Linked DNA regions of Mus musculus: region 2 is reported to be linked to region 1. The links are microRNA targets in miRTarBase. Many come from high-throughput screens and were not tested one by one. Region 1 holds a microRNA gene; the other region holds the end of a gene's coding sequence.

Region 1 (3,000 bases):
TAGCCACTAAGATCACAGTCACTAAGAAAATTACTCAATTATAAAACATAAATATTTTAATGAAGATGAGTGTTGGGTAAGTAACATAAATCAATCCTTAATTACAACAATGCGGCTAGGCTAGATATGTAATGAACCTATACATTAAAGATGTCTGAACTTTAATAACCTGGACCACACCAGGGTCACAATTGGTAGCAGAACACTGATCATCATATAAAAGCCAGCAAACACATGAAAAGAATTACAGTACATCACACATCAAACACTATGGCCTGGTGCTTCCTTCCTCTAATCCTACTGGCAGGAAATGGTCTACACAGCTTTTGAGGTGACTAGACATATTTAAAAGAAGTCCCTTGTTCAGAAAAGCTCCTGGATGCTGCAGTTCTTAGCAGGATGGAGAGCACCTTCTGCTCTGCCGAGGACCACTGTACTACGCCTCCCGTGTCCACACAGCCCTGCAGCCACACTGAGAAGGTACTGGAATTGTATGATGCCATTTACTCTGCAAAGACTTAAAAAAAAAAAAAAATAGAAGGAATCGCCAAAGTTGTGTTTCCATATTGTATATAGCAGGTAAATTCATCCAAAATTGAAAAGATTTAACAATGTTACTTTGGATTAATAGAATCAGCTTTTGACCTGAGCCTGAATTATATACTTTTAGTGCAAGAATAAATTTCAGAAAATATCTTTCTCACATGACAATTCTTGAACCTGGACAGTATACAAATGATTCTGGTGTACTGTTAGGCTTTTTTGTTTGTTTTTAAAAAATACTACACTTCTGAGGATGTATTTTCAAATAAAATAATTGAAATTAAACAAATATGAATCCAGATAAAAGCAAAAATTCAGACTATCTAATGTTATGCAAAATAGGAAAGTATATATAAAATCAATTCTATTCCATTTTTCTTATTTTAAAATTCAAGTATGTTTATAATGTAACTTGACAATGTTTACCAGAATGAAAGCAAATTAAAGAATTATCTCTTTCATTAATGTCTCTTCTGCCACTAAGATGAACAAGGGGTGCTTCCATCCTATAACCCTGTGCATTTGTTTATTTTTCCTAGGTTTGGGGAAATTCCCAGTTCTGTGGTACTATACCTCAGTTTTATCAGGTGTTCATTAAAATCACCTGAAAATACTGAGGCTATGTTTCACTGAGCATAAGCTTCATGGATTCCTTGAGTGACTGCAGCTGTACTCACCACAAAGATGTGCTGTCCACAGTGTATTTGATAAGATGACATAGGAGAGGAACTTCTTTCACCTTTGTGTCAGTTTATCAAACCCATACCTGGATGACAAGCAATTCAATGGAAGGAAAACCAGTCCCAGAATTCAAAGCATTATTTCCTGTAGAAGAGCTCTGTGCTCTCTAAATGCCAAAGGCATAAATATACGACAGTTTCACTAAATGACTAAAGCCTTAAATAATATGGATAGAAACGGTTGCACTGCTAAAGTTATAACCACAGTTATTAAGGTTTACTGGTATGCTAGGGGATTTGGGTGAAAATAGCACTAAGGATAAATATGTATTACCTGATAATAAAATATGAGGAATTTATGTTAAAATTATGCTTTGACTTTGCTCAAAATTATTGACTTTTATATTTTTCGATTATTGTATTGCTTTGGTTCAGAATCCTCGACAAGAAAATTTATAGGTGGCAAACACAGGTTAAGGAAAGAGCATTCACAAATTAAAAACTGAAATTAGCATTTAGTTTTCTTGAAAGTTACCAATAGTCATAAAGGGTAGAACAGTGTTAATCTTTGACATATAGGCTACTATGGGCAGAAGTGAAGGCTGCAGGGGTCTGGGGGAAGTGTTAATGTGGCTATGTTTAAGCAATTAGTATTTCTCCTGTGGGAACTATCACTTCAAGAATGAAACAAGGACAAATAAGAAGAAAACATTCTATGGCCATTTTTACCTACCTTGATAATCAGGGCTGTGTTCCTTAGTACTTTTGCCAACATGAACTACTTTTCTGGTATCTTAACCTTATCAAAGTTCAGGGTTAGAAATTACAGAACAAAAACATCAGATTAAGGAATGGTTTCAATGAAGGGGATAAACAGCTTCTAAACAAAGGATAAGCCTTTCTAAGTGCATAAAAAAACTATTTAACCTACGACACTAATGACAGTGCACACTGTAATAAAGAAAGAGAAGCATGCGTGGGAAGGAAGTTGTCCTTCACACTGACCCTGCAGAGGAGAACTGTTCATTGCTGGGGCAGGGGAATGACACTTTCTAAGTCTGCATGCCACCTCACTGCTGCTCACCAGATGTTCATACGTGATATATACAGGTAATTTACTATGCATATGTAGTGAATATGTGTATGGTCCTTGCTTCTTAATTTGACACCTAATTAGCTTCTCTGTGGTAAAGATGTTAGGCTGTGGCTGTAAGTGGACACTAGTCAATACAGGCTAAAACAGTAAATAAGTGGCCTTTACAGCATCTCACATTTACAAGTTCACTAAAAAGATATTTTAAAAACAGGGAATGTATGATGTATCATGTACCCATCCTTTCATCAATGAACACATATAGGAAACAAACATACAGAATACTATTTAATTATAACATTCAATTATTTTATAATAGGCATTTAAGAAAACATAACACTATTTTACCATTTTTGTGTCTTGCATGTCAGTAGCCATGGTACACAAGCATTATATGCCAAGTATTATGGAGATTTAAAGGTTTAAAATTATTTTAAGGTCTATTTAACCTGTTTTCTTTTTTTTAAATTAGGTATTCATTTCATTTACATTTCCAATGCTATCCCAAAAGTCCCCCACACCCTCCCCCACTCACTCCCCCACCCATCCACTCCCACTTCTTGGCCCTGGCATTCCCCTGTACTGAGGCATATAAAGTTTGCACGACCAATGGGCCTCTCTTTCCACTGATGGCCAACTAGGCCATCTTCTGATACATATGCAGCTAGAGACACGAGCTCTAGG
Region 2 (6,072 bases), not on the chromosome of region 1:
TGAGGCTAGCCTTTTCTCCTCTTGTAGGCTGGCATTTTTACCTCTTTGGAGTCTGCTTGGGAAACACCCCCTCCCTTATTGCTTCAGGGTCCCAGGGTCCTATGGCAAGTCCCCTCCTAAAGCTATTGTCAGAGCACCCACTCACCCAGAATGATGACAACCGTCTTGACTAGGCTGAGTGTGGTCTCTCGGTAGCGGGGATGGCAGCTGACGTGCTCCGCCATGCGTTCCACCCGTCTACGCACATAGAAGAAAATTCGTGTGTAGACAGCTACCATGAGTAGGAAGACAAGCAGGCTGGATAGGGCCCACGCAGCCAAGTAGGAGCGGCTGAACAGGGGCACCATGCGTGAGCAACTGTCCAAGTCACAGAGGCAGTGCCAGAAGTGTGCAGGTAGCAACCCCAGACCCAGTGCAGCCGCCCACACACCCACGATGAGTGTGACCACACGGCCCCGGGGCAGGCGGCTGTGTAGCTGTACCGCCATCACACTGCGGTGCCGTTCCACAGCGATGGCCAGCAGTGTGGCCACTGACGCCGTGAGGCTGGTGTCCAGCAGGCCCTGTCGCAGGAACCAGCCTTTGATGGAGAGCCTGGCAGTGCGTGGGCCAGTATGGAACATGAGGAAGAGGTAGGCCATGCCAGCGAAGAGGTCAGCCGCAGCCAAGTTGCCAAGCAGGTAGTATATGGGCTGGTGGAAGCGTCGGTTGGAGGCGATGGCTGCAATAACCAGCAGATTGGTCAGCAATACCAGCACACTGACTGTCAGCCCCAGGGCCACCACCACCACATCTTTGGGGCGCCAGTGAAGGCTGAGCTCCTTGCCGCTGTTATTATAGAAAAAGCCGATGGTCTCGTTGTAGTAGCACTGGCCCATGATGGCTGCCTGTGGATACAGAAGACAGATCAGTGCAGGTGGCCCCTGATGGAAGGGCACTTGAACAAAGCAGTGGCCAGAGACTAGAATCAAGATTGGGTGAGTGCAACCTACAGGATCAGAGGCCCTCTGTGCAAGAAGTCTGTGCTGAAGGCCAAAGTGACCTTTAAAAAGCAATTTCTATTTATTTACTCATAAAGCAGGGTCTCTCGATGCATCCCAACTGACCTAGAACTTGCTTTGAGACCACACTGGCCTCAAAATCAGAGATCCACTAGCCTCTGCTGAATGCTGGCATAACAATTTAAAACGGTTTTCTGATCGGCTTTTCTTTTCTTTTTTAAATCTTAAGAACCCAGAGCAAATGCATCCACATTGCAATTCAGTGCCACGTGCCACTAATCCGTGACTGGGTTGGACACCTGTGGTTTTCAATGGGCGTGGGTGGGTTGGCTGGGGCAGCACAAAGGCGGAGTGAGCTGCTGGGGTTAGCCTTAAGAAGATCAAACTTGTGCCAGGGTCCTTGCACAGTGCAGAGGCCAGGGGGTGTGTGCACACCAGAGCGAGGTCCGTGGTCAACACCCGGAGGGCAATGCCAAGGCACTGAGGGGACTTAGCGCGAGCAGAGTAGACAGAGACCGCCCAGAAGTTGAGTTACAGGCAGGATTCCGCGCAAGAGCTCTGAAAGCAGTCCATTCCTGGGTGGGACTGAGGGCCAAGAAGGCCTCCAGGACAAAAGAGGGTATTGCAGACAACCCTGGGCTAGGAGAAGGATTGTGGAGAAGAGGGGGCCCCGCCTCGCTTTCTTCGGTGGCCTGCACCCACCCTAAACCGGTTGGTGTTGGTCTTACCTGCACATCCAGTCAAGCGGCAGATGGGGCTGGCTCGCGGTGGGTTGAAGCAGGACTGAGACCCATGGCCGGGCAACCGAGCGGTTGCGCAGCAGCGTCCGGTGTTCCTGGAGCCCCCGGCTGAGGAGGCGGGAGAGGCGGGACCTCAAAGCCACGCCCCCACCTGCCTTAGCTCTTGGCCCTTGGGGGTGTCCCGCCCCCTGGAAAGTCCCACCCCCACGTCGGAAGTGTGATCTCCTGAAACTGTGGTCATTTCACCGCCTCCCCACAGCCCCCTTTTCCCACGTGGGGCACCCTTTCTACTCCCCCCCCCCCCCCCCCCCGCACATCTCACGTGCTTGCCCTTTCGCGCCTTTGGGGCTGAGTCACCTGGCAGTTGAAAAGATCCACAGCGGGGGGGGGGGGGGCTCTGCGGGCGCCCCCCCCCCCGTTTCTGTCCAATCCTTTACCGAGCTGCAAGCCCCGCCCCACTGTTCCGTGGTCAATCTCCCGGCTGGACCCTCGCCCCACTGCTGCCGCACTACCTTGCTTCCCGAAGTCTCGCCCCAGCCTGCCGCTGGCTCGAGCCTGCAGCAGCCTCCTCCCCTGACCTCCCCCGGTTCGCAGCACACAGCCCCATTGTCCCGATTATCTGCACCGAGTTGTATTTGATTGTGTAGAACCGGATCAGGGACACTGAGCTGAGTGACTCATCTTGGGCTCCAGGCCCTACACTAATTGCCAGTAGGTTTCCCAGGGTGTGTTTAGAAGCCTTGGTTCCATCATCTGGCCCTTAATAAAGGGTTAAAGACGCTGCTCTTACTGGTGACTTATTGTCAGCATTCCAGCACAAAGACAAATGTGCAAGAACAGACAAGATTTATCTTATTTTATTTTGTTTTTCTGAAACAGGGTTTCTCTGTGTAGCCCTGGCTGTCCTGGAACTTTCTCTGTACACCTGGCTGGCATAAAACTCAGAGATCCTCCTGCCTCTATCTCCTGAGTGCTAGGATCAAGTAGAGGTGTGTGGCACTACCGCCCAGCGGATTTTTTTTTTTAAATTAAAATTTTCTTTTATTTGTGCATGTGCACAGGTCAGACAATTTGTAGGGATGGGCTCTCTCCTTCCACTAAGTGGCTCTGGGAGGTCCAACAAATGTGAGGCTTTACAGCAAGCACCACTGCGGTCAGCCCTCCTGCCGGCAGCAGGATATGGTTTTATTTGGAGGTTGTAAGAACACAGATTTAGCCAGCACTTGGGAGGCAGAGGATTTGTGGCTCACAAAGGGAGCTCCAGACCAGCCAGAGCTACACAGTGAGACTTAGCTTAAAACAAACAAACAAACAAACAAATTAAAAGGAGACAGGGCTGGGCTGCAGCCACCTGCTAACTTGGGAGTCTGTTACTGCTGCAAGTGTAGTAGGGCCAGGAGCCATTATGACTGAAATAGTCAAGACACCCGTCTCAGAGGTCAGAGACTCGGGTAGTCCCCAAGGATCTACTGATCTGTATTGACCATTGAGTCTTGACCCCGAAACACCTGCACCTGTGTTGCCTAGCTGTTTAAATCTCCTCTGGCAGGGAGATGATGGGACACTTCAACCAAGTGTCTTGGGACTCCCACAGGTAGGTAATCTTCATTACCGGAACTCACTGGTAACCCCGTCTCTCCCCACACCCCACTGAATTGGTTTGGTCACCAGGTTGGGTCAGGGACCATCAATTCAGTTCTGGGTCCCTCAGGATGGTAGGTGGTCAGAGGTGCTCTTCAGACTCCTCAGGCTCTGGGTCAGCACAACAGGTGGTCCTGGACACAGCATCACTGTTCAGCTTGGAGAGAAGTCGGGCTGTCTCCTGGGTGATCTCAAAGTGCTTGGGCAGAGGGTTCCGGCGCAGGGGGCTGCCTTCAGGGCAGGCAGCAGCAGGGCCCAAACCTCGTACCCTCAAACTACCTCGGTGCACTGCTGAGACAGTGACAGGAGTCTCCTCACACAGCTTGGAGGCCACCAGAGCCAGGCTGGAGAGTTGATGAGTAACTGGCCTCACACCTCCCCGGGAATACTTCACTGGCTGGCGGCTGAAGTGGCCCCGGGATTGTGCTCCCAGGGCCAAGTCCTCAGGGCAGTGGCTGGACCCTGTGGAGCGGTTAAGTGCTCAGCATCTCCAAGTTCTTTGGATGTACTCCCAGCCAAGCAACCCTGGGGCGAAGTGAGGGCTCTCTAGACACTCACCATCCCCTGCCCCATCTCTGGTGTCTTCCACCTCCTCCTCCCTCTGGTCCCTCTGCAGAGTTGCAAGCTGCAGGAAGAAACCCAGAACGTGACTCCCAATAGCAAAGTCCCTGTTTAGGGATTTCTGGAGAAAAGATCGGTAAATTAAGAGGATTCACTGTGGAAGCATGAGAACCCAAGTTTAAATGCCAAGCATGGCTGGGTGCTTGTAACTTCTGTATTGTGGGGTGGGGACAGGGGTCCTGGGAGCTCTTTGGCATGCCAGTTCAGCTTCAAGTTCAATGAGTGATCCTATCTCAATGCACTGTCTGCATATAGCCAGTGGTCATTTGCTGCTCCCCTTGTGCTCACGGGGACTAGCAGAGCCATCCCTTCTTTCCTGGTGCTGAGAAGCAAACCCAGAGCCTCTCATAGACTGATGAGCACGTTGCCACAGAGACTCATTTGCAGACTGGCTCTGATTCCTTCCTGCTTCTCTTACCCAGGCAGTATAACATAGGACTGGAGATGGCTCCCACCCCAGGGGCTTTGCACTGGGCTGTTCTACTGCCTGGTACAGCTTTTCCCAGATTTGACCATGCCTCATTTTGCCCCCATGTCATGCCACTCTTTGCTCAAATTCACCTGTCCCAAAAGACTTGCCCATATTATATTTTCTGCTGCAAACCCCTCTGGTCCTCACCATGGGCAGCCCTTACTCCATCTTCCTTTCTTCACAGGACCTCAGAATGTTGCATGTGCCCAATTTCATGATGATTTTTGGTCTTCTTTCTCTTGGATTCAGACACCAAAAGAGGGAGGGGTCTTTGAACATCTATCTAGCTCACTCATGTACCTGCAAGGCCTGGTACTTGATACTTCTAACAATGGGTGCTGAGCTGGCCCAGCTGTTTATTATAAACTCATTTAAATGGCTAAGTGGGTAAAAGTAACTGCCACTGAACTTGGCAATATCAATTTGATCTCCAGACTGTACGGGGGACTGAGAGAACTGATTCCTGCAAGTTGTCTTCTGACCTCCACACCTATGCCTGTGTGCCTCCTCCCACTAAATAAATAAGTTAAAAAGCCCTAGAGTTTGGGGGGTAAATACCCATAATGTCAGCTCTTCTATGGCAAGATGGGAAGCCCTCAGGAGACTCAGCAGACTGTCCTCTGACCTCTATAATGTCATAGCACCCATGTATTCCCACACACTAAGAAAATACATCTCTCGCTCTCTCTCTTTCTCTCTCTCTCTCTCTCTCTCTCTCTCTCTCTCTCTCTCTCTCTCTCTCGTTGGTTTTTCAAGACAGGGTTTCTCTGCACCCTGGAACTCACTCTGTAGACCAGGCAGGCTTTACACTCCCAGAGATCTACCTGCCTCTGTCTCCCAAGTGCTGGGATTAAAGTCATCACCATGCGTAGCCTAACAAAGAAATGTTGAAGAGAAAGGGAGACGATCAGAAAGGAGGTGCACACCTAACTGCAATCCTAGCATTCAAAGCACTAAGGCAGGAAGATCACAGAGAAAGACCATATCTCAAAGTCAGATAAAACAACAGAACAGCTGGGCGGTGGTGGCGCAGGCCTTTAATCCCAGCACTCGGGAGGCAGAGGCAGGCAGATTTTTGAGTTCGAGGCCAGCCTGGTCTACAGAGTGAGTTCCAGGACAGCCAGGGCTACACAGAGAAACCCTGTCTCGAAAAACCAAAACTAAAAAACAAAAACAAAACAGAATAAACAGTCAAGTAAGGCAGTAAGTTGGGGCTGTAGAAATGGTCAATGGCTAAGAACACTGGCTGCTCTTTCAGAAGACCCGGGTTCGATACCCAGCTCCCACATGGCAGCTCAAAAACTATAACTCCAGTTCCAGGGGATCTGATACCCTCAGAGATACATGAGACAAAACACCAATATACATTACAAAAAAAAAAAGGCTGGATAGGTAAAGGCATCTCCCACCAAGCTTGGCAAATCATTCCCAGGGCCTACAGGGCAGAAGGAAAACTACTCTCACAAGTTGTCTCTGACCATCACATGATACTCCCCTCCCATGCACAATAAATAAATAAATTAAGATGCAATAAAAGAAATCTAGTCTGGCTCAGGGGCTAGAGGTACTAAGTCTAAGGACCTGAATTCGGTCCCTA

Evidence for each region. Region 1 holds the annotated microRNA mmu-miR-875-3p (CCUGAAAAUACUGAGGCUAUG, at 1,147-1,167, shown strand). A microRNA usually pairs through its seed, bases 2 to 8, with sites in the 3' UTR of a target mRNA and lowers its output. Matches are read on the target gene's strand: a 7mer-m8 pairs with bases 2 to 8, a 7mer-A1 pairs with bases 2 to 7 and ends in A, and an 8mer does both.
Region 2: miRTarBase lists Gmip as a target of mmu-miR-875-3p. Seed matches in the 3' UTR shown: 7mer-A1 at 2,611-2,617.

The regions. Positions count from the first base shown.
Region 1 is chr15:35,659,149-35,662,148 of GRCm38, reverse strand. It overlaps Mir875 (microRNA 875), which reads left to right and starts at 1,102; the gene lies at 1,102-1,179. The region is part of intron 30 of Vps13b (vacuolar protein sorting 13B); the gene reads right to left. It overlaps Mir599 (microRNA 599), which reads left to right and starts at 1,231; the gene lies at 1,231-1,318.
Region 2 is chr8:69,818,369-69,824,440 of GRCm38, reverse strand. It overlaps Gmip (Gem-interacting protein), which reads right to left. Exons shown (of 21, transcript NM_198101.1): 20 at 3,941-4,007; 21 at 2,571-3,844. The coding sequence ends at 3,465. Lpar2 (lysophosphatidic acid receptor 2) reads right to left here and starts at 1,876. Exons shown (of 3, transcript NM_020028.3): 1 at 1,730-1,876; 2 at 146-887. The coding sequence starts at 878.